6 linked regions of the Callithrix jacchus genome follow. The main gene of each other region encodes a partner of the protein of the gene in region 5 in a complex. Links are inferred from orthologs where the notes say so. Each region holds a gene or a part of one and is shown on either strand. Other genes may lie near its edges.

Evidence for each region.
Region 1: the proteins of NCBP1 (region 5) and NELFE are in contact, whole or in part, in a crystal structure (PDB 5OOB), measured with the Homo sapiens proteins. The link is inferred for Callithrix jacchus from reciprocal best matches to the Homo sapiens genes NCBP1 and NELFE. Residues at the interface, in NP_002477.1 of Homo sapiens: Tyr461, Lys511, Lys557, Ser558, Ser560, His561, Ser564, Lys568, Ile609, Arg610, Gln612, Cys616, Lys647, Met648, His651, Glu705; in NP_002895.3 of Homo sapiens: Arg362, Ile365, Val366, Tyr367, Ser368, Asp370, Val371, Tyr372, Gly379, Phe380.
Region 2: the proteins of NCBP1 (region 5) and PHAX are in contact, whole or in part, in a cryo-EM structure (PDB 8PNT), measured with the Homo sapiens proteins. The link is inferred for Callithrix jacchus from reciprocal best matches to the Homo sapiens genes NCBP1 and PHAX. Residues at the interface, in NP_002477.1 of Homo sapiens: Cys380, Lys381, Pro384, Pro388, Gln389, Leu391, Ala392, Thr395, Phe417, His420, Leu421, Asn423, Phe424, Gln425, Arg427, Trp428, Ser429, Asp432; in NP_115553.2 of Homo sapiens: Ile114, Asn115, Asn116, Ile117, Trp118, Gly119, Val121, Leu122, Glu124, Gln125.
Region 3: the proteins of NCBP1 (region 5) and NCBP3 are in contact, whole or in part, in a cryo-EM structure (PDB 8BY6), measured with the Homo sapiens proteins. The link is inferred for Callithrix jacchus from reciprocal best matches to the Homo sapiens genes NCBP1 and NCBP3. Residues at the interface, in NP_002477.1 of Homo sapiens: Lys330, Ile377, Glu378, Cys380, Lys381, Pro384, Pro388, Gln389, Ala392, His420, Asn423, Phe424, Gln425, Arg427, Trp428, Ser429, Glu431, Asp432; in NP_001107590.1 of Homo sapiens: Glu572, Asp574, Glu576, Leu577, Gln578, Ala580, Trp581, Gly582, Leu584, Ile585, Lys588, Glu589, Arg592.
Region 4: the proteins of NCBP1 (region 5) and PPARGC1B are in contact, whole or in part, in a crystal structure (PDB 6D0Y), measured with the Homo sapiens proteins. The link is inferred for Callithrix jacchus from reciprocal best matches to the Homo sapiens genes NCBP1 and PPARGC1B. Residues at the interface, in NP_002477.1 of Homo sapiens: Glu26, Asp29, His30, Ser33, Leu34, Lys37, Val38, Lys41, Ser42, Ala43, Cys44, Asn49, Gly52, Leu53, Val56; in NP_573570.3 of Homo sapiens: Tyr1006, Glu1007, Ala1008, Met1009, Asp1010, Phe1011, Asp1012, Leu1014, Leu1015, Lys1016, Glu1017, Ala1018, Gln1019.
Region 6: the proteins of NCBP1 (region 5) and NCBP2 are in contact, whole or in part, in a crystal structure (PDB 5OOB), measured with the Homo sapiens proteins. The link is inferred for Callithrix jacchus from reciprocal best matches to the Homo sapiens genes NCBP1 and NCBP2. Residues at the interface, in NP_002477.1 of Homo sapiens: Glu32, Cys36, Leu71, Thr74, Val75, Arg77, Leu78, Leu79, Ser324, His325, Trp326, Lys327, Glu328, Arg329, Lys330, Ile368, Val370, Met371, Thr374, Glu378, Asn415, His419, Ser422, Asn423, Gln425, Lys455, Arg458, Leu459, Ser460, Tyr461; in NP_031388.2 of Homo sapiens: Gly4, Leu5, Leu6, Lys7, Leu9, Arg10, Ser11, Asp12, Ser13, Tyr14, Glu53, Glu54, Gln55, Tyr57, Glu58, Leu59, Lys62, Ser63, Asp65, Lys67, Ile69, Tyr89, Asn96, Arg99, Tyr100, Asn102, Gly103, Thr104, Arg105, Leu106.

What each region holds. Positions count from the first base shown.
Region 1 is NC_133505.1:39,471,458-39,475,429, reverse strand, and holds the end of NELFE (negative elongation factor E), read left to right. Parts: intron 1-413; coding exon 414-488; intron 489-608; coding exon 609-646; intron 647-812; coding exon 813-1,168; intron 1,169-1,280; coding exon 1,281-1,425; intron 1,426-1,592; coding exon 1,593-1,647; intron 1,648-1,889; coding exon 1,890-1,992; intron 1,993-3,301; coding exon 3,302-3,399; 3' UTR 3,400-3,472; downstream 3,473-3,972. Other genes in the region: CFB (complement factor B), read right to left, coding at 3,655-3,810. UniProt on the Homo sapiens protein: Essential component of the NELF complex, a complex that negatively regulates the elongation of transcription by RNA polymerase II.
Region 2 is NC_133503.1:82,384,416-82,388,444, forward strand, and holds the start of PHAX (phosphorylated adapter RNA export protein), read right to left. Parts: upstream 2,801-4,029; 5' UTR 2,783-2,800; coding exon 2,687-2,782; intron 25-2,686; coding exon 1-24. UniProt on the Homo sapiens protein: A phosphoprotein adapter involved in the XPO1-mediated U snRNA export from the nucleus.
Region 3 is NC_133506.1:67,508,873-67,512,372, reverse strand, and holds part of NCBP3 (nuclear cap-binding protein subunit 3), read left to right. Parts: intron 1-808; coding exon 809-937; intron 938-1,189; coding exon 1,190-1,266; intron 1,267-2,295; coding exon 2,296-2,404; intron 2,405-3,500. UniProt on the Homo sapiens protein: Associates with NCBP1/CBP80 to form an alternative cap-binding complex (CBC) which plays a key role in mRNA export. NCBP3 serves as adapter protein linking the capped RNAs (m7GpppG-capped RNA) to NCBP1/CBP80.
Region 4 is NC_133503.1:48,438,521-48,442,680, forward strand, and holds the start of PPARGC1B (peroxisome proliferator-activated receptor gamma coactivator 1-beta), read left to right. Parts: upstream 1-1,360; 5' UTR 1,361-1,409; coding exon 1,410-1,487; intron 1,488-4,160. UniProt on the Homo sapiens protein: Plays a role of stimulator of transcription factors and nuclear receptors activities. Activates transcriptional activity of estrogen receptor alpha, nuclear respiratory factor 1 (NRF1) and glucocorticoid receptor in the presence of glucocorticoids.
Region 5 is NC_133502.1:145,760,772-145,765,019, reverse strand, and holds the start of NCBP1 (nuclear cap-binding protein subunit 1), read right to left. Parts: upstream 2,801-4,248; 5' UTR 2,523-2,800; coding exon 2,489-2,522; intron 1-2,488. UniProt on the Homo sapiens protein: Component of the cap-binding complex (CBC), which binds cotranscriptionally to the 5'-cap of pre-mRNAs and is involved in various processes such as pre-mRNA splicing, translation regulation, nonsense-mediated mRNA decay, RNA-mediated gene silencing (RNAi) by microRNAs (miRNAs) and mRNA export.
Region 6 is NC_133516.1:25,211,496-25,214,050, forward strand, and holds part of NCBP2 (nuclear cap-binding protein subunit 2), read left to right. Parts: intron 1-541; coding exon 542-723; intron 724-2,400; coding exon 2,401-2,539; intron 2,540-2,555. UniProt on the Homo sapiens protein: Component of the cap-binding complex (CBC), which binds co-transcriptionally to the 5' cap of pre-mRNAs and is involved in various processes such as pre-mRNA splicing, translation regulation, nonsense-mediated mRNA decay, RNA-mediated gene silencing (RNAi) by microRNAs (miRNAs) and mRNA export.

The sequences.
Region 1 (3,972 bases), on a different chromosome or scaffold from region 5:
AGCACTTTTAGGAGGCTGAGGCAGGAGAATTGTTTGAGCCCAGGAGTTTTAGACTAACCCTGGCAACATAGTGAAACCTGTCTCTGCAAAGAAAAAATACAGAAATTAGCCAAGCATGATAGAGCGCACCTCTAGTCCCAGCTACTAGGGAGGCTAAGGTGGGAGGATTGCTTGAGCCTGGGAGGTCAAGGCTGCAGCAAGCTATGATTGCACTATTGCACTTCAGCCTGGACAGCACAGCAAGACCCTGTCTCAAAAAATAAAACCACATAGTCAAATAAGAAATGTACATAGAATTAAAAGGAAAAACAGATCAGAGGAAACCTAGAAGAAGGTGAGCAAAGAGGAACACCTTTGTTCCATGGTTGGGCAGCCTTCTGCTCCACACTGAGGGAGGTCCCTCACCTCTCCAGGACCCTGAGAAGGGACCAGTCCCCACTTTCCAGCCCTTCCAGAGGAGCATATCTGCTGATGATGACCTTCAGGAGGTAAAGGCTCCTAATTTTCTGTCTCTGAGGGGTTGGGGATAGAGGAACATGAGAGACTAACGTATTTTGCACCACATGTCAGCAACTGGGAATCTTAACTATTATTGGTCTCTTTTACAGTCATCCAGACGTCCCCAGAGGAAATCTCTGTATGAGAGGTTAGAGAGTAGAGATAAGACTGGGCCCACTTGGCGGGGTTGATTGCCTGAGTCCTTGGGAGGTTTGGGCTGTAGGGGCTGTGCTGTTGAGGGAGTGTTGAGTCTCCACAGGGTCTGAGGGGAGAAGGTAAAAGCCCCCTTTGATCTTCAGTGTGCTTCTCCCCAGCTTTGTGTCTTCTAGCGACCGGCTTCGAGAACTAGGGCCAGATGGAGAAGAGGCAGAGGGCCCAGGGGCTGGTGATGGTCCCCCTCGCAGCTTTGACTGGGGCTATGAAGAACGTGGTGGTGCCCGGTCCTCAGCCTCCCCTCCCCGAAGTCGCAGCCGGGACCGCAGCCATGAGAGGAACCGGGACAGAGACCGAGATCGGGAGCGGGATCGAGACCGGGACCGAGACAGAGACCGGGACCGGGACCGGGACAGGGATCGGGATCGAGAGCGGGACCGGGACAGGGATCGAGACCGGGATCGGGAGCGGGAGCGGGACCGAGACCGAGACCGAGACCGAGAGGGTCCTTTCCGCAGTGAGTGAGCTTGCCTGGAGGTCAAGGTGACCTTAACTAAGGTTTATGTGGGTCCTACTATGTGAAGTGTGGCATGGGCTATGTCTTGTGACTGTGATTCCTGATCCCAAAGGGTCGGACTCATTCCCTGAACGGCGAGCCCCTAGGAAAGGGAACACTCTCTATGTGTACGGAGAAGACATGACACCCACCCTCCTCCGTGGGGCCTTCTCTCCTTTTGGAAACATCATTGACCTCTCCATGGACCCACCCAGAAAGTAAGGATGACAACAGGGCAGGATGAGAAGGAAGTCCTGGGGGAATCCTGGGGTATGAGACCTGAGGGAAGAAGCTGCCCTGCCTGCAGCCACCTATGATCACTGGGTTTGGTTGGGTCCACAAGAGCCCACTGGCTCTCCACTGACCCTGTTTTCTCTTATCCTAGCTGTGCCTTCGTCACCTATGAAAAGATGGAGTCAGCAGATCAGGCCGTTGCTGAGGTTGGAACTTCCCAAATCTGTTCTTCCCATCGCTTCTGCTGTTCTCATATTTTCTCAAAATACTAGATGCCAGGAAGAAGTTGGTTCCTCTTGATAGAGAAAGTCTCCCTATTCACGCAGAAAAACTTATATTCTCAGATTCCTATTCAGTCTACTCCTAGGATAGCAACCCCTGGAATAACTTCTTTGGTTTATCTGTAATGTTTTGTTCCCCGTCCTCTGCCTCCCCTCTTCTGCTTCAGCTCAACGGGACCCAGGTGGAGTCTGTACAGCTCAAAGTCAATATAGCCCGAAAACAGCCCATGCTGGATGCCGCTACTGGCAAGTCTGTTTGGGGCTCCCTTGGTAAGAATGGGATTCTTCCTTCCCCATCGTCTCTCCCACAGCCCACTCCTTTTGGTTTCCCCTCATGTACTTGGGTTTCCGAGAGATGACAGAGGTCAGTTTGTGTGGAGGCTGTGGGGATGGGAAGGAAAATTTCAGATCCTCCGTCAGAGGTAAAGAAAGGAGAGAAAAGGATTGAAAGCAACTTCCAAAGCAGTGACTGAACAGGAAAGAAAGTGGCAGCTGGAGTGAGATTGGTGAGAAAGATGAGTGTCTCATGGGACTTGTTCATTTCAAGATGGAGTAGAACAAGTTTCATCAGTATTTAAAATCAGCGATCTGGAACTCAGGTGTGAGGTAAGGAATGAAAACATAGATTCAGTCATCCACATCACAGCGATGCTCCCAAACAATAACAGGGAGACTGATTTCAGAGGGAAAAAACGACCCAGGACTAGGCTTGAGGAGTACTCAGGGACTGTGTTAGGAAACAGGACTGTCCTCCTCATGCCCCACGTATCCCCAGCTCTCCTGATGTGTTAGGCTAACGTTGAGCCTGATGTAGCAAAGGAGACAGGAGCAGGAGTCGGGGCTGGGAGCAGCATCAGAGGGGCCTGGGTCACTGAAGCCAAAGGACACACACTTTGAGATGAGAGAGTAGCCAGTAGTGTCAAGGTACAGAGATCACAGGGTGGGAAGTGGGTAGGAGCCATTCTCTCTAGCCCCAGAGTGGTGGGGATGGAATTGTTAGATAGGGTGAAAAGAGTGACATGTCTGATGGAGGGAAGAAAGAGAAAGGGGAAGAAATAGCCAGGGACTTGAGAGAGAATGGTGAGGGCCAAAGCTACACCCTGGATGAGTTCTCCTGGTGGAGCTAGTAGCATTTCTTAGTGTGATTAACCATTCTACCTGAAAGTAGATGTTCCTGGGAAAGAAGTGAGCAGAAAGAAGGGCTCAGAGCAAGAATGACCCTTCAGACAAAATGAAGGAACTAGAATTGACTAGCATGTCAACAAAGGGCTACAGAGGTTTTCTAGTTTTTAACTTTTGACATACTATAAGTAGTGGGTAACATCGTTCACGTGTCTCAGCAATGACATTTGGGATTTTTCTAAGAACAAAACATTCATCATAATATCCACTTGTACTCTTCTTGGCCATGGGTTGGCACGAAGGAGCTAAGGGAGACAGACAATCCTGGCCACCAGAGGGCAGTGTGAAAACTTGGCTTCCAGAGACCCCGGCCAGGAGTGAGGTAGTCCAGAGTCGGCCTCAGGGTCTGATCTGTGTTCTCCTTTAGACCTTAACTCTTCCTCTCCTCCCTCCCTAGCTGTCCAGAACAGCCCTAAGGGTTGCCACCGGGACAAGAGGACCCAGATTGTCTACAGTGATGATGTCTACAAGGAAAACCTTGTGGATGGCTTCTAGGGACCAGAGCTGGATTCCTTGTGCCTCATATGCCCCAATGCTGGTCTCAGTAAAACACTGAGGTGGAAGCTTACACATCTCCCTCAGCCTCTGGTTTTTCAGCACTTGGGATTGGGGTTAAGCCTTTAAAAACGGCTGTGAGGTTTGATCTCTGTAACAACATGGCCAGTGCCTGTTCCCCACTCCATCGCCCCAAAAGGATCTGGAACACAGGTGTTGTCGCAGCTGTTTTAATTCAGTCCAGCAGGAAACCCCTTATAGAAAACCCAAATCTTCATCTTGGAGTTTCTCCTTCAGCCAGGGCAGCACTTGGAAGAGGTTAATGTGAAAGTCTCGGGCGTGAGCAGGTACCTGCTTTTGCCGCCTGTGGTTTTTGCAGACGTCCACTACTCCCCAACTGATTACACCAACCTGCAGAGGCAGAGGGGTGCCGTGGATCATTCAGTAGACCTCCTTTCTAATCCTGGAAGCATGGCTGATCCTGGTTGTGTCTTAGCTGACCTAAAGGAATCAGACTAGGGACCCAGCTCAGTCTTGTTCGTTCAGACACAGGCCAGACATGTGGCCCTGAGG
Region 2 (4,029 bases), on a different chromosome or scaffold from region 5:
AGCACTGTCCCCGCCTAGCACTTTCTGCAAGAAATACAATCAATTTCACAAAACACACAAACTCCACCTACCTAATTTTTAAAAATTTAGAGATTCAACTGTGCCATTCCAAAATGGAACTGATCTTCAAAGACAAGTCTGAGACCAAACAGTCCCTACTTTTCTAAGTTCCACATGGATTTGCCAATTTAAAAGTCACAAATTCTTATGTTTACAATGCAGCACTTAGTTCTAAGATCTCTTTCCACAATACTACCAAAGCTCTTGTCACCTGTAAAAGATTTCAGACTTTTCAGTTATTGTCAGATGTTTAAAAATGACATACATAATAATTACTTTTTTTTTTTTTGAGACAGTTTTGTTCTGTGGCCCAGGCTAGAGTGCAGTGGAGCAATCATGGCTCACCGCAGCCTCAACCTCCCAGGCTCAAGTGATCCTCCCACCTCAGTCTCTTGAAGAAATTACAGGCAACCGTCACCATACACAGCTAATCATTTTTTGCATTTCTCGTAAAGATGGGGTCTTGCCAGGCTGGGCATGATACCTTTAAAACCCCAGAGTGTACAGCATTAAGTTTATTTACCAAGTCATGGGTCAATTTATGTAAAACAGCCTGAGACTGAAAAACAAAATACCTTGGTACTAATTTCCTAAGACATTTCTATGCAAAAGAAATCATCTTTGCTGGCCAGGCACAGTAGCTCATGCCTGTAACCCCAGCACTTTGGGAGGCAGAAGCAGGCAGATCACCAGGTCAGAAGATAAAGACCATCCTGGCCAACATGGTGAAACCCCGTGTCTACTAAAAATACAAAAATTCGCTGAGTGTGGTGGTGTGTGCCTGTAATCCCAGCTACTCAGAAAGCCAAGGCAGAGAATGGCTTGAACCCAGGAGGTGTAGGTTGCAGTGAGCTGAGATTGTGCCACTGCACTCCAGCCTGGTGACAGGGCAGACTCCATCTCAAAAAGAAAAAGAAAAAAAGAAAGAAAGAAATCACCTTTGCTTTTTGTATTATACACTAAACCAAGTATTTGCTAAACTTCTACTACACTAGAAATAGAGGTTAGAATGATCTATCTTCCTATCTTCAAATAATAATCAGAGTTAACACTTATCAGGCATTACAGTGTACAGTATGCTCCATAGAAGCCTTATAATAGGCCCAGCACGGGCTCATGCCTGTAATCCCAGCACTCTGGGAGGCCGAAGCAGGTGGATTACTTGATGTCAGGAGTTGGAAACCAGCCTGGCCAACATGGTGAAACCTGTCTCTACGGAAAATACAAAAATTAGCTGGGCTTGGTGGCAGCGCCTGCAGTCCCAACTATTTGGGAGGCTGAGGCAGGAGAATCACTTAAACCTGGGAGGCAGCGACTATGCTACTGCACTCCAGCCTGGGCAACAGAGGGAGACTCCATTTCAAAAAAAAAAAATCGTAAAAAAGCCCTATCAGTGGTACATCATGCCAGTTCCACAAATGGAGACAAAAAGCGGTGAGGCTAAATAAACCTGCTGTAGGTCACACACTGGTGGCACCAGGATTTGAACACATGTAGCCTGGCAACAAAGCTCTCTCAAAGAGAGTGCTACCTACCTAAGGCAGTCAAGACAAATTCCCGTTTAGAAAGCTGGGTAGCTGGGTCTGGCACGGTGGCTCACGCCCATGATACCAGAACTTTGGGAGGCCGAGGCAGGAGAATCACTTGAGGTCAGGAGTTCGAGACCAGCCGAGCCAACATGGTGAAACCTCGTGTCTACTAAAAATACAAAAATTAGCCTGGCGTGGCGGCAGGCGCCTGTAATCCCAGCTATTCGGGAGGCTGGGGCAGGAAAATCGCTTGAACCCGAGAGGCCGAGGTTGCAGTGAGCTGAGTTCGCACCACTCCCACTGCACTCCAGCCTGGGCGACAGAGGGAGACTCCATCTCACAACAACAAACAAACAAAAAATTAGCCGGGCGTGGTTACTACGCACGCCTGTAGTCCCAGCTACTTGGGAGGCTGAGGCTGGAGAATCGCTTGAACCCCAGAGGCGGAGGTTGCAGTGAGCCGAAATCGCATCACTGCACTCCAACACAGAGTGAGACTCCGTCTCAAACAAACAAACAAAACCAGGGAAGCTAATGCAAAAACCTATACCGTGGTACCTCATGACAAAGCTAGGTTCGGCGGAAAGATGGAAGACCAGGTCTCTGAGTAAGCGATAAACTTCATTCCTGGGTCTCAGTCTCCCTTCGGTCCAGGTAGAAAATGAGCATCACAGGCTATTTAGGGTCGATGTCCCCAGATGCTACATTTTTAGTAAAATCTACCCCTTTACAGTCACCTAGCGGCGCTAGGGAAGCCCTAAGTTTATGGGCGGAGGTGAGATGGCCCAGAGACCGCTGCGAGACCGCCGTAAGCCCGCCTCCAGGAGTCGCCAAGGTTCGCGCACCCCGCCTCGCAGCGAGCAGCCGGGTCGGGGTCCGCAAGCCTAACCGCTGCCGCCGCTACCCCCCGGCCTCCCAAACCCGGGCTCCGTGAGCCAGCCCGGGTGACGCCTGCTAGCCCTTCTACTGCCAATGACCCGGCAGCCCGGGCTCCTCGCTCCCACCACTCACCCTCACCCTCATCGCCGCCCGCGCGCTCCCCGGGGCCCGGGCTTCGCGCGCCCAGCCACGACCACCCACCCTCCCTTCACACTCACTGGCACTTGCAGCGGCCTGTCGCTGGGTGCGACCGTCATGTCGGAATCTGAGTCGGAAAGCTGCCCATCTTCCATGTCGCCGGCCTCCAACGCCATCTTCCCGCGGCGCGGCGCGGCGCGGCGCGGCGCGGTGCGGAGGTCTACGCGGCGACGGGTCAGGAGAGCACTTCCGGCGGGAAGGCCCGGCTGCGAGGTTGCTGGGGCGCCCCCGCGCGGAGGCCTGCCTGTCCCAGTGGCCTGAGGCGTCGCCATTGCACTGGAACTACGCCGGAAAAATGAATCCCTTGGGCCCTCAACACTTTTCTTCCAAACTTTATTTTCGTGCAAACATAAATATGTTACGAGTTGCGGTCGTCTGGGATTCCGCCTTTGGCCGTACATCCCTCGCCTGTATGCTCTGGACAAGCCTCCCCCTTTCCATTCTTGCTCCTCCACAATCCACTCTACGTATTGCTTCCAGTGAAGCTTTTCAAGCAGTATAGTCCGCCCTGTATTCACTCCCTATCCACAGACGGCGAACCTGCGGATGGGAAGGACCCACCGTGCACCGCCACGTAAAGTAAGGGGCTTGAGTATGGCGGATGTTGGTATCTGTGGGGGGGTCTTGAAAACAAAGACCTGCGGATACCGAGGGACGATTGTACCTTAGCTCGAATCTTCCAAGAGCGTCCCTCCCCAAAACAAGGACTGAGTTCTCAGCCTGGTAAACAAGGTCCTGTGATCTGGGCATCTGGCCACTGGTCCTGGTGCGTCCCCATGCCCAACCGCTGGCGTGCTGCTCCTTTATTCATTCCAAGCTAACGGCCTCTGCATTTGCTTTTCACTCGGCCTGGAATGCCCTTCCCTCAACCCACTCCATTCTTTAAAGGTTATCTTGGAACCGCCTTTGCAAAAATTTGTAACAGTGAGAACATTATAGCAGTGGGAGGGATCTGATCTAGCCAACCCCTATCTTGCTTTCAGCCTTCAAGCTGCCCCTAATTACTCCTGGACTTGGGCCGGTTGATTTAATTTTGGGAGACATTTAGTTTATTTATTTGTTTGTTTGTTTATTTATTTATTGAAACGGAGTTTCGCTCTTGTTACCCAGGCTGGAGTGCAATGGCGCGATCTCGGCTCACCGCAACCTCCGCCTCCTGGGTTCAGGCAATTCTCCTGCCTCAGCCTCCCGAGTAGCTGGGATTATAGGCACGCCCCACCGTGCCCAGCTAATTTTTTGTATTTTTAGTAGAGACGGAGTTTCACCATGTTGACCAGGATGGTCTTGATATTTTGACCTCGTGATCCACCCGCCTCAGCCTCCCAAAGTGCTGGGATTACAGGCGTGAGCCACCGAGCCCGGC
Region 3 (3,500 bases), on a different chromosome or scaffold from region 5:
ACAGCTGTGATCATCATCAAGAACTGCTAATACATATTAAGTATTTAACTACCTGTGTTCTATTCCAATAGTGTTATCATACACAACCCTTTTTCATGGAATACTTAAGCTATTTTGTAGAACCCAGTTTGGAAATGCAGCTCTAGGCTAATTTTGTCAGAGGCTTTACTACCATGTCCGCCCTTTCTTCCTTCCCCGTCTGCTTCTCCTTCCCTTGCCCTCCCTTTCCCCTTCCCTTGCCCTCTTTTTCTTTCCTTTCTTCTTCCTTCCCTCTTTCTCTCTCTTTCTTTCTTCTCTGTCTTTCTTTTCTTTTCTTTTCCTTTCTTTCTTTTTCTTTTTTTATTTATTTTTAACTTTTCATTTCTTTTGAGATGAAGTCTCACTCTATTCCCCAGGCTGGAGTGCAATGGTATGAACTTGGCCTCAATATCCTGTGGCATTGAGTGGTAGCCTCAATATCCTGGGCTCAATCCATCTTCCCACCTCAGCCTCCCAAGTAGCTGGGACTACAGGCTCATGCCACCATGCCCAGCTAATTTTTGTATTTTTGGTAGAGGCAGGGTCTCACTGTGTTGCCCAGGATGATCTCACTTCAAGCGAGTCTCCTGCTTTGGCCTCCCAAAGTACTGGGTCACAGGCGTCAGTCACTGTCCCTGGCCTATATTTCTCTTCATTAGTTGGTTTGTATATTTACTGATGATAATCTATTGCTAGATGAGGCCATAGTGATGACTGCAGTGCAGAATCTGCTCTCAGGAAACTTACTATTTGTGTGCCATGTAGCGTCTTATTTTATATTTTATTTAAGGTAATGTAGTTTGGCTGGATGAAATGACAGCTGCACGAGCCCTTATCAATATGAGCTCTCTGCCTGCACAGGATAAGATAAGAAGCAGGGATGCCAGTGAGGACAAGTCATCTGAGAAAAATAAAAAAGGTAAGTGATGAACAAAAGAGGGAACTTGGGTTTGAAAGTCCTCTTCTTCACTCAGTTCTGTTGTGCGCTGTGCGTGTCTCAGCAGAGTGCTGTAGCGTCTCATCAGGTGGTTCTGAAGTAAGCTATGATGCTTTAGATCATCAGCAAAGGGGAAAATACTGGACTTTTAAAATTATATGAAATAGTTCATCCTGTATCTCATTATATGAAACTTTTACCTTGTTTCGTCTTGTCCTTCACATTCCATGTTAGACAAGCAGGAAGACAGTTCAGAGGATGATGAAGCTGAAGAAGGAGAGGTTGAAGACGAGAACACAAGTGACGTAGAGGTTAGTAATAGGGCGAAGGTAGATGTCAGGCTCTCTTGTAAAAAATGCTTACTGTCTTTTTAATTTAAGTCTTAAAGACTTAGTTGTGTTTTTCCTCTAGCTTTCACCGTGAGACCTTCTGAGGATGCACAAAGCTCTTGTCCTTTAAGGTCATGTGGATGTAACAATTCACCTTGAAACCCCATAATAGTGCTCATCCTTCTACAAAAAAGAAAATAGTTTTATTGAGAAATACTTTGAAGTGTTATCTAATCAGTAAAATTAAGAAACAGCAAGTAATGACATATTTCCTAATGGATTATGTACTGCTGTTAGAAATATTAGCATGTATTCATTTTTAATTTTTTTTTTGAGATGGAGTTTCGCTCTTGTTACCCAGGCTGGAGTGCAATGGCGTGATCTCGGCTCACTGCAACCTCCGCCTCCTGGGTTCAAGCAATTCTCCTGCCTCAGCCTCCCGAGTAGCTGGGATTACAGGCACGCGCCACCATGCCCAGCTAATTTTTGTATTTTTAGTAGAGACGGGGTTTCACCTTGTTTGACCAGGATGGTCTCGATCTCTTGACCTCGTGATCCACCCATCTCGGCCTCCCAAAGTGCTGGGATTACAGGCGTGAGCCACCGTGCCCAGCCGCATGTATTCATTTAAAAAATATTTACTGAGTACCTACTATACGCCATATTCTAAGTGCCATGGATATAGCTTCAAGCAAAACAAAGTCCTGGTCTTCTTGGAGCCTGCATTCTAGTGGGAATACAGGTGATACACCGATGCACAGATCCTAATACTGTGTCAGGTGGTGACAGGTGCTGTGAAAACAGGAAAGAGTAGGGAATAGAGAATGGCTGAGACTGTTCCTTTAGACAAGGTGGGCGGGAAACCTCTGAGTTAGAAATTCTACAGAGGAACTGGTGCTATAACCCTTGTACGCATTAAAGGTAGAATGCCTTTCTTAATGGTAACTTGACTACTGAAGAAATATGAAAAGGACTTTAATTTTTATATTAAAAATACTCTTCTTTCTTAAGTTGGACACGTTGTCTCAGGTAGAAGAGGAGTCTTTGTTAAGAAATGATCTTCGTCCAGCTAACAAACTTGCTAAAGGAAATAGGTTATTCATGAGATTTGCTACAAAAGGTAAATTTTTTATTTGGTATTGTTTTGTATTTTCAGTCAAAATGATTTATTGTGGAGTGACATCCTTTTTTTTTTAATAGAACTTAGATCAAGTAGTCTCAAAGTTCCCTTCAAACTATAGTATTCTTGCTTATGAAATAAGTGCTCACTGCCTGAGCTGGAATTTCTGACTTTTAAAGTGAATATATTTGTATACTTCTGTGACTTCTAGCTAAAGAAAGTGATTTTCTATTAAAACTGGTTTGCCCCATGTGTTTTCAGCCAGTTACATCTGAATTATGAAAACTTTAAAATGAAACGTTTTAATCTATTGCAGCAGGATCCTCCTGAACATTGCCAGTATACCATTAAGCTCTAATTCCCGTCTCATAAGACTTTTGCACACAGTGACTTTTGGCGGGCGTTTAAAAATGTGTGTGTATGTGTGTATATGTGTATACACATATACAAATCCTGTTTTTTGAGAGTTATTTGAAGATAAAACCCGTCACCCCTAAATACTTGAATACGTATTCCAGAGAACAAGAACATTGTCTTTCACTGATAGCACACTCATCAAAATCAATGCATCTGACATTAATAGAGTACTGTTACCTAATCCGTCGTCCATATTCAAGTGTTGTCAGCTGTTCCAATAATGTCGCTTCTGTATTCCCCACCCAGCCCCCAGGTCTAGGATCTAATCCAGGACTGAGTGTTTTTAAGGATGTCACGTTTCCTTAGCTTCCCTTAATCTGGAGCTACTTCTGTCCTCCCATGTTTTCCAAGAGTATAGGCTTACTATTTTATAGGATGTCCCCGGTTTCGGTGTGTCTGATGATTCCTGCTGGTTGAATTAGGGTTGTGCATGTGAGGTAGGCGTGCCATGGAAGTGATGTCATGTAATTTCCAGTGCCTCATGTCAGGAGCCCTGGGACACTTACTTGTCCCATTCCTAGGGATGTTCACTTTATTCACTTGGTGAAGGCAGTAATCACTAGATTTTTCCACTGTAAAGTTACTGTTTTCCCATTTGTGTCTTAAAAATTGATGGGCTGGTGGTTGCAGTGGCTCATGCCTATAATCGCAACACTTTGGGAGGCTAAAGCAGGAGGAT
Region 4 (4,160 bases), on a different chromosome or scaffold from region 5:
AGCAGGTGTACCGGGGACTCTCCCTGTTTCCTTCTTCCACTGGAAGGGAGCCCTTGTAGGGTGGGCAGGGTGGGGCAGCTCCTATGAGTGTAGGGTGGAAGGAGGACAGGAGGCAGGAGTGCCCAATAAAACTGACCTAAAGCTTCCCGCCTTCTTGCCTTCATGAAGGCAGTGCCCTCACCTCCTGTCTGGCAAACAGGGCATGGTGATGAGAGTTCAAGTTTGGAGTCAGGAGGTCTGAGTGCTGGTTCTGGCTCAGAGAGTCACTCCATGTGCACACTGACAGTGAGTCTCCTTTTCTGTATCATGTGTGGCGGTGGTGGTGGTAGAGAAAATGCTCCAGCTTTTTTAGTTAACACATCATTTATTAAGTGCCTACTGTGTGCCAGGAACTGCCAATACAGCAAGTGCAAAAGCAGATTGAGGCCCGGCTTGCATGGTGTTAGAGTCTTGTAAGAAGAGATACAAAGATTAAGTCTTCACTGCAACAAATGTAAAATGGCAACTGTGACTAGCTTTTAAAGAAAAAAGGCCTACCACTCAGCGAAGGGAGCCCATGATGGTGGGGTGGAAGGAGAGGAAATGGCGTGATGCCCTGAAGAGATTACCAGGTGAATGGCTGCTGGGTGTACAAGCTCGTTGTGAGTGGGCCTGCAGAGGCTGGCAGGAGCCCAGCCCCTTCGCGCATTGTGGGCCACGGTAAGAGAAGTCATTAAAGTTTTGGGGAGTAGGGTGTTGGGAGACCATGGGAGAGAGAGAGATGATCAGGTTTAACACAGAACATAAGCAAACGCACACTTCAAGTGAAAGACTAAAATACCACCTCCTCCAAGGAGCCTTCCTTGATTTCTCTGCTTTTTATCTATGGTATTTTTCCCTTTCTCTGGCCTGGTAGATTGGGTAGAGAAACTCAGTCCTCCATGGGAGTAAGGCCTGAGCTTTCTCTTCCTGCAACTGATGTGCCTTGTGGCTTCAAACGTGGTCCTTGTCTTCTTGAGCCTCAGTTTCCCCCGCTGTGCAGAAGAAGCAGGACCCGCCCAGTGCTAACGCAACGTGATTCGCTCTGGCAGGAGCGGGGGGCTGCCCGCATTGCTGCGCAGGCATCAAGCTGCTGGCTAGGGCACCGCCACCCGGCTGTCTGCGCTTTTTCCCCGTCTGAGGGCTGCTGGAGCCGGCCGCCGCGCCAGACTAGGCGCAGGAAAGTGGGTGAGCGACCCCCGGCTCCCGCGGGCGCCGCGCGGCCCCGCCCCCGCAGCCAGTGGCCCTGCGGCAGCCGGGGGCTCGAGCTCCGCCCTCCGCCTCCCGCCGGCCTTGCTCCCTCCTCCCTCCTCCCTTGCTCGCTCGCTGGCTCCCTCCCCCCGGGCCGGCTCGGCGTTGACTCCGCCGCACGCTGCAGCCGCGGCTGGAAGATGGCGGGGAACGACTGCGGCGCGCTGCTGGACGAAGAGCTCTCCTCCTTCTTCCTCAACTATCTCGCTGACACGCAGGTACGGCCCGCCGGGGCTGCGGGCCCTGGGCCAGGGGTACTGAGCTGCGGGGGCCGCAGCCGCAGCCGCCGCCGCCGAGGCCGGGAGGCAGCGGTGGGCGCCCTGGGGTACTGGGGGTTCCAGGCTGCAGAGCCCCCCTTCCAGGCGCCCTGCGATGCGCTCCGTTACCGGGGCTGGGAGCCGAAGGTCTCCCCGAGTGTGTTGGAGCGCTGGGGGCGCTACGGCCGCTGGGGAGGGTCTAGCCTTGGCCGCTTAGAGTCTGCCCCCCCGCGGGCAGAGCTGGGGGTATCGCGCTTCCTTGGGCAGGTGGAGGCGCGCCACGGTGTGGGGTACCCTCAGGCTGTCGCTGGGTGCTGGAGGCGCGCCCTCAGCGCCCGGCACTTGCTGCCGTACTTTCACGTGGACTTGTGGCCCCGGCACGGGCGCAGCCTCTGTCTCCGGAGTCCTCTAGTCCTCCAGCCTCCAGTCCCCCGAGTGCTGTTGCTGGCCCTCCGCGGCTCTCTACCCGCGCTAGCAGCGCGGAGTTTCCTGCCAGTTGCCAGCTAAAGGCACAGGGGTCTGCGGGGCACGTGGACATGCGGGCGGAGACGGCGTCTTCCTGGTTTCGCTATCCGGCGGAGCCCTCTGGGGGAAAAAGCCAGGCAGGATGGGGGCGGAAGGACTCTCTGGGGGCGCCTGGGTCCCCCTGCGGCGCGCGGTCCCGGCGCGCGCTCCACGATGCAGGGGGAAGGGAAGGCGAGGCGGAGTCCCAGGCTTTGGCTGAGACCGGGAGCCCCACTGGCGACACGCGCGTGACAGGAGAGAGTGCTCTGGTGTGCCGCGGGGTGGGGGGAGGCGAGGAAGCTGGTGGCTTGGAGACTGGGAGAAGGGTGCTGCTGGGACAAGCAGCTACCAAAAATGTCAGCACGAGGTGTGCGCGCCCCCCACCCCTCCCCCATTTTCCCCACCCAATGCCTGTTGCAAGCATAAAGTTTGGCTCCAGAGTTAGGGCTTTTTCTCCTGGCGCCCGGCTGCGGGTCACAGGGAAGCTGGGGTTGCAGCGGAACCTCGGAGGAGCCCCTGGGTGCTGGCACACGCCTGGGCACGGAGAGGGGCAGCCGGGCGGAACCGGGCGCGGCTCGCGGGGGCTGATTTAGTACCTGGAGTGGGAGCGCCGGTGCCGGCCCGTTTTGCATAACAGTGGAAAGGAGGGGGAAGGCGTAGATGGGGGGGAGGGAGGTGGGAGGAGAGAGAGGGAAACTTTGCTTCTTGTTATAATCTGCCAGTCTTTGGGCGGCAGCAGCTGTCATGGGACCGGGTGGGCGGGGAGAGGTTGCAAGCTGACTCCTTGCGGTGAAACGCGACTTGGAGGGGACGCCGCAGCCTAGACGTTCAGCTCCGGGCGGACTCCGGGTGGCGACTTCGGGCCGGCTGCTGGGACAGCGCGGCGTGGCAGGAAGCCCGCCACGCGGGAGGCAGGCCGGCCCTGGCCAGCTGCAGACGCCGCTGCGTAGGGGAGCCGCGGGGCCGCGTGGTCGGTGGCGGGCACGCTCGGGTGGGTTCGCGGTAGAGGCCGGAGGGGCTGGTGGCGTGTGATTGCGCTTCTCGAGGTAGGGGGAGTGTGTGGTGAGCGTGTTGCGCGCGCGCGTGTGTGTGTGTGTGTGTGTGCACACGCCGTGCGCGCCGGGCGCGTACCTTTACCTCTGACGAAACTGCGGTGGAGCTCCCGCCGCCGTCGCCAGGCTCCGTCACACGCCCCGCGCCGGTGTCTGCGCCGAAGGCGGGTCCCAGCCTCCGTACTCCCGGAGCCTAGAGCTTGGGGTTAGGGAGACTGACTTCGGGAGGAGGGGCAGAGTCTCTCCAGGGACGATTCTGTCCCCAGATCTCTCAATTGCCTGGGGGCGTCTCCTAATCTCTCCGCTGAAATTCGGATGAGGAGGGAGGCCTGAAATAGCCGGAGACTCCTTCAGGGACCCATTGCAAGAACTGTCCGCTTTGGACCATACCCCGGATTTAAACTCCATCTTCAGTGTTTGGCTTAGCAATGATTAATTATTTTGCCCTTTTAGCTACCTAGCGAGCCTAGCTAGCAGAAATATTTCACCCGAGGAAACTAGAAAATTGAGTAATCAGGTGTCAGCAGGAACAGTGCAGTGAAAGTTAATCTGGGACATTTGCTTTTTTTTTTCTTAACCACGTGACAGCCCAAGGATCTTCTGGTGATCTATGCCGGCCCAACTTGGGAAATGTAATTGATAGGATGAGCTTTGAGCCGCCCCTAGAAGGCTCGCACAGCCCAGCCGGAAAAGGACCTGGGCGGGCCCAGCGTGCGCCTCCTCATTTTACAGTTGGGGAAAGAGGCTGCGAGGAGTGAGCGGCTTGTACGGGACCACGCAGCCAGAGGGTGACAGAGCCACCCAGGGCTCCTGACTCCAGGTCCTGTGTGTTACCTCGAAATAGCACTGGACTTGGAGTCAGAAGGCCTGAGTGGAGTCACCTTCCCCACTCTCTGGCTGGGTGACCCTGGGGCAAGCCATTTGAACTCTCCAAGCCTCATTTCCTCCATCTGTCAAATGGGGCTGGTGGTGCGGCAAGAGAATCCAATGGCCTGGTGGTGGGGGTGAGCCGTGTTTGCATGTGAGATGTTCTGGTTGTGCCTGCAACCCCCTCTCCTCCCCCAACCTTACCCTCACC
Region 5 (4,248 bases):
ATATATAGAGTCAAGCATATGGAAAGTCAGGGCAGTGATAGACAGGAGCTGACAATTATCCAGAAATGCTCAGATGCATCTATTTAATTCTGACTATAATTCCTAGCCTATTATAAAATAGCCTTCTATAATACTTAAGCTTCTAAGATGTCTTATTTTTTAGAAAATAGATGTTTAACTATTTTCATTAGTTGGATTATTTGGAAGCTAAAAGGAAAGCATCCAAATTATCTGATTCAGATCACTGTGTAGGGTCAACTCCAGCTGACTGTTACCCAAATTGTGGCGATTTACAGAAATTTCAGATTTGCCGTATTATGAAGTATGAACTGTATCTGCCTCTCCCATACTAAAATACCCACCATATTAACCTTTGCTTAATGAATGCCTTCTTTTGCTTCTTTGTCTTACTTACTCTGAGGTTGTCCAGCAAGACACAAATGGACAGTGACTTGGCTGCCAGCTGGTGTTAAAGCCAACTCCAAGAAAGTTATGTCAGTCTCCCAATAACCAAAGCAAAAGTTATTTTTCTACATATTTGCATTCCAATTCTCTAGGATGCCCGAAAGTGACATTTTCTCTCTCCTTAGGGATTCCCGATAAGGGAGAAAAAGCATAAGAACAATAAAGAAAATGGAAAGGACAAAAGATTCAAGTTATCCAACCCCCAAGTAATGACTCGGGAAATATATTCGCTTTTGATTAATAACAAAGCAAATGAAAACTGTATTTTTGTCGGGCGCAGTAGCTCACATCTGTAATCCCAGCACTTTGGGAAGCCAAGGTGGGTGGATCGTCCTGAGCTCAGGAGTTGAAGACCAGCCTGGGCAACGTGGCAACACCCCATCTCTACGAAAAATACAAAAGTAAAAAAAAAACAAAAACCGGCCGGGCATGATGGCCTGCACCTGAGGTCCCAGCTACTCAGGAGGCTGAGGTGGGAGGATACTTAGGCCTGAGAGGCAGAGGTTACAGTGAGCCGAGATTGAGCCACTGCAATCCGGCCTGACAGTGACACTCTGTCTCACACACACAAATAAAGGGGAAATGTATTTTCTGTGCCTTGTACAGAGGTTACACAAGAAGCCTCTTGTGGTGGAAATCAAAGCACGCAGCCTAATTTATACCTGTGTAGCGAAGAGAGCCCTGGAATGGACTTGCTCTTCCTGGTGTCTTGGAACTGACAGCTGTCTCTCCGTGTTAGTTATACTCAGTCTCTATATCCTTAGGCGTCCGATGATAAGGCTGGACTAGAATAACCCTTCAAGCCATGCCTTTATAGAAATCTGGTGCTTCCCTATTAAAACTAAATGCATGAGATTCTGCTTCCACCTCAACTGCCGCAACACCCAAGCAGAGAGTAGAGAAAATTTAAAATGTCTGTTACGCTTTTTCCCCCTACAATGACAGCATATGCTAATGTTTACCACCTCTTAAGCATTGGCAAATGATAAATCATCATCGTGGGCCACTGCTGACGTCTCATTTAACCTTCACAAACCCCAGAAAATGTAAGTATCATTGCTTCTATATTACTAAAGTTTAAGGAGATTACATAACCTGGACAAGATCACAAAGCAAACGGTAACGTCTGGCTTTGAACCTAAACCCTCTGGTTCCAAAGTCTCACCTCTTAAACGTTACTATACACTCTCTTCAAAGATTAACACACAAAAATGTTAATAACATAATTACTCTAAGTTTCACTTTTTGTGTGTGTGGATTTGTATTTATGACCGATTGTAAGGCTTATGTGTAATGTAAGCATCTTTTGTTTAAACTAGAATTAGTCCGTTTTTATGAAGGCAACACCTTGACCTCCACGAGCACAATCATCCAAATGGAGATAGAAACCCCTAACTCTCTCAGAGGCCTGAGTTAGTTTTCTAGCACTCTTTCTCACACGAGGGAAATGTGCGTGCGGCCAGTTCAAAATCTGCCGTAACCTGTGTCTATTAGGGACCTCTTGGGCGTAATAAGACAATATTCCTTCTTCGCAGTTTGAAAGAAGGATAATCAACAGATGACCAGTACCGGAACAGAGTTCAGACTGCAATTCATGAGATCTCAGTCCTTTCCTTCAGTGAATTTTTTCGAGCCCTTTTCAGGTGCAGCTTTGAAGGTTAAAACGAGACACTGGGGTCAGTGGGTCCCTAAGAGGCACCAGTACAGACACAGGTGTGCTTCCCTGCTCCGTGGTGCTAAGGACCAAGCTCTGAAGCGTCCTTAGAGACCAAGGGTCTATCCGTGGGGTTCACCAGGCCTCCTTTCCCAGGATCGGCCCATGACTCAAGGAACTGGGGCGGGGGAGAAGTCGCTTTCCAGAAGCCTTCCGGCCACACCGGTACTGTATTCCACTCTTTCCCTCCGCGGCTCCCCGCACGCTCCCGGGAAAAAGCGGTTCCCTTCTCTTCCCTGGACACCCAAAGATTCCGAACCTCGGCTCCCAACCGGGAGCGGCCTCCGCGGCAGGGCCGCGGGCACTCACCGTCGTTCTCGTCGCTGTGCCGCCGCCGCGACATGCCGCCCTACGGTGCGCCGCGGAGCCGAGAGGCCAGGCGGTAAGCCCTGCAGGAACTGCCCGGCCGTTGGCCGGCGCGAGGGCAGCTGCGAAGCGCGCGGATGCGCCGGCACGCAGGCGCAGTCGCTCGCCACGGCTCCCGGAAGCGCAGAAGAGGCCGCTGGGTGAGCTCAGAGCCGAAAGAGCCGGCGTGCAGAAGCTCAGAGGGCTACGGGCGTCGGGCCCGCACGCAACCGCCCCCTTCGGGCTGCCTCCGCCTGCCGGCTGCTTCTTTCTCCCGCCTTCCGCTCTATGTCCTTCCGGGGCCACGCAGAAAGTGCCGCCGCTTCGACCAGTCAGAGCCCCCGGGCCAAGGTCGTCGTACGTCTGAAGGCAAGTGGTGCCGGCGGCCGCTCTAGTCCCCGCCTCCGTTCAGGCCGGTCGTTCGGGGCGTCTCAATGGTTTTCCCGGCGGCCCTTGCGCCGACGTCCAGGAGACTTCCGGAGCTTGGTGACGTCACGAGCGAGCTTTTCTACCCAAACATGCGGCGGGGGCCAGACTCGAGGGCAGTAAGCAGTGACAATTGCTAAGTGGAGATGGTGCAGGGAAGAGAGACCTAAGAAAGGATCAGGACTGGCGGGTATGTGCTCATCTACTCCCACTTTCCGGCTTTTGCCGCCTTGGGAAAAGTGGGCGGAGAGGTTGGGCCAAGCTGTGCACGCGGGGTGGGGCCTGGGCGGGAGGCGGTGCCGCACGTGCCGCCCCCTGGGATGGAAAGGCCGGTCCTGACGCGATCTTGCTGCTACCTGCTGCTCCTGGCTTGCCGGCTTGCCGTCATTTTACCTAAGTGTTTGCTTAAGAAGGAACAAATGATTTTTGGTCATCTGTCTTCAAGGATTATTGGGTGCCTATATGCCTGTGTGTGAATATTCCCTCCTCTGATGTCTTTCTGAGCACCATACTGGCTTACCTAACTACTTTGTCCATGGCCATCTGAAATTTCACTCTCTCGGACTAATTCTCTTTCAGTCTTATTTCAGTAAATTACGTCATCGATCGGCTGCTTAATCCAAAAGTTTAGGGAGTCTTAGTTCTTTTCCCTCACTTTTTACATAACAATTATTTGTAAACCCTGCGTGCTCTGCTTTCAACACAAATCCAGAATCAGATCGTGTTACTGCTTTGTTTAAAAGACTCCTGTGAGGGCCGGGCGCGGTAGCTAACGCCTGTAATCCCAACACTTTGGGAGGCTGAGGCGGGCGGATCTCTTGAGCCCAGGAGTTCAAGACCCACCTGGGCAACGAGGCGAACCCCGTCTTTACAAAAAAGAAAAAAATAGCCGGCCCTAGTGTTTAGCGTCTGTAGTCCCAGTTACTCAGGGGGAGAGTAGACGGCCGAAGTGGGAGGATCCCTTGAACCCAAGAGATCGAGAATGAAGTAAGTCGTGATTGCACCACTGCACTCAAGCCTGGGTGGCAAAGTGAGACCCTGTTTTTTTTAAAAAAAAAAAAAAGTGTTTTACGACTTTCCATTGCAAACTCCATACCATGGCCTATGGGGTTCTAGCTCTCCTCACCATGCTCCAACCACTCTTTCTGTTCTTCTAGTATGTCAAGCTTTTAGGAACTTATACTATTTCTTTTACCTGAAGGTCTCTGGTTCTAAATCTGCGTGACTGGCTCTTGGTCACTTAGGTCTCAGCTCAATTATCAGGTCCTTAGTGAGGCCTTCTTTGGTTACCCAATCGC
Region 6 (2,555 bases), on a different chromosome or scaffold from region 5:
AGGAAAATGAGATGTTTTGGTTTTTTTTTACTGATCACTACATTTTTTCCTAAACTCAGAAAAATATATGAGCATGTAAAGCATCCACGTTATTGCTTTGAACAGTTTCTATAGGTGCATTAAAAGAGGAACTCTATCTGAAAATCCACTTACTTTTCACTGTAGAGGATAAAAGGGCCCTTTCTCATATATTAGGTCAAGGTCCAGAGTTTAAACTTGGGTTTAAAGGATGCAGTGCTGAGGATATGGTGTGTACATGGAAAAGGCAAGCCACTTGTGAGAGTCTGGTGTAGAAGTTATTTTGTTGTTTGCGGTGTAACTTTTGAGACTGTCTCTCTATTAAGAGTCTGGATTTTCCATAAGTGCTTCACAGATTATGTGAACAATCCCCCCTTTTTTTGGGCAAGGGATTTGTGGTAGATTGGGATGAGAGAATTTGATTTCCAAATCAGAATTAATGAATATTTTTTACCATGCTTAGAAATACTATTTAAGCAAGGCTCTTAAGTTGCTTAACTTTTGTTTCTATTTGAAATTCTAGGGTGACAATGAAGAACAAGAAAAATTACTCAAGAAAAGCTGTACGTTATATGTTGGAAATCTTTCTTTTTACACAACTGAAGAACAAATCTATGAACTCTTCAGCAAAAGTGGTGACATAAAGAAAATCATTATGGGTCTGGATAAAATGAAGAAAACAGCATGTGGATTCTGTTTTGTGGAGTATCCTTCCTGTGTTTAATGTAGCTGTTGAACCAGAGTAGAGCTGAGAGTGGTTGGTTGCCTGTTTGAAAAAAAAAAAAAAAAAAAAGTGAGGCTGTTGGTTCATAAGCATCCCTGCACTTGTTCCTACGTTTTCCTTCGTCTCCCTTCTGCCTTCTGTCATATTTATCTCTGCTCTTATACTATGAAAGCTGCTACTCTTTACATTCTCTTGAAATTCATGCTTTATGGTTAAGAAAAAGTTTTTCAAGAATATTTGCCCTTCATCTAAAAAAAATTCTAAAGAGCATAGTGAAAATATAAAAACCTTGTTCTGTTCTAAACACCTAATTCCCTTTCCTAGAAGCAGTCAGTTACCAGTTTCTTGGGTGTCTTTCAAAAAGTAATCCTGTGGGTGTGCAGTAGTGTATTTCATGTGCTGGTTTTCTTTTTAAATAAATTTTTTTATTGTTCCATTTCAGCACACGTAGGTCTGTTTTAAAGACAGCTGTATAGCTGGGTTTGATGGCTCACATTTGTAGTGCTAGCTACTCAGAAAGCTGAGGTAGACCCAGGATCACTTGAGCCCAAGAGTTCAAGGCTGCAGTGAGTTGTGATGGTGTTCCAGCCTGGGTGACAGGGCAAAACCCCATTTTTAAAGAAAAAAAATTTTGAAGGAAAATAGCTGTATAGTATTTCATTATGTAGATGTATATGAGTTGACTGTATAGGTAAAAACCAAAACTTTATTTACTTGTGATCATTTCATTCATTACTTTACTCACACTCTTTAAATATTGGACCTCCTGGATTTATCCTATGTTCTTTTTACTATATTTTATGCTTTGTTCATTCAGTTTAATATTCTGAGAAGTTTTGCAGACACAATCTAATGTTTCTGTTGAATTTTTTTCTGTGCCCTGATTTTATGTTTGTTTTGGTTGAAAATTTTCCTTAAGTGTCTGGTAATCCCTGGATTTCTGTTCATAATTAAGAACGCTGATTCACTGGACCTAGGCAGGGCTTCTCTCCCAGATGCTGGGTTGCCTTGGGGATATGCGGGTTTCCCAAATGCTAGAATGAAAAGAGATTTTATTTTGGCCTGCTAACATCAAAGCCACTAGTTCCTCCAGATGGTTTATTGAGAACACTATTGTCTTAATTGTCTGGGATTAAAAGTCTTCCTGCTTGCAGGTCTTCCCAGATAGACAATTAAATGGAGATCTCTGATTAAGTAGGTTTGGGAACTACTACCTTCTTGATACCTCGAGTCTTTCCTTCAGTGAAATGCAGTGCGATTCCATGTGCACTGTGACCTCTTTATTAAGGCTGCTCTGGAATATGTAGCACCTAACTTGAACATATAGCATTTGTTTCTTGGATAAAAAGTGTACAGTGGTCTAAACCTGCACTGAATGTATTTTATATTTTGCAAACCAAAATACGGAGATGATGAGACCAAAAATTATCAACAGGAATGTCCAGGAAATAATGATCAGTGTAGCCGTGGGTAAGTGTCACATTTGACCATGTGCTTCTAGACCAATTGCAAACAGGCCTGTGCAAGCTGAATTACTGTCTTTGCACTACCGCTGCTTGGATTAGCTCTTAAACTTTTTAACAACTCAGCTTCATTTACATGTTGTCTCCCATTTCCAAAAATGCTTGGGAAAATGCTAGTGTTCCTTAACACTTAAGATATTACTCACGAGCAGATGCAGAAAATGCCATGCGGTACATAAATGGAACTCGTCTAGATGACCGAATCATTCGCACAGACTGGGATGCAGGCTTTAAGGAGGGCAGGCAGTATGGCCGCGGGCGATCTGGGGGCCAGGTATGCAAGAAGGGTC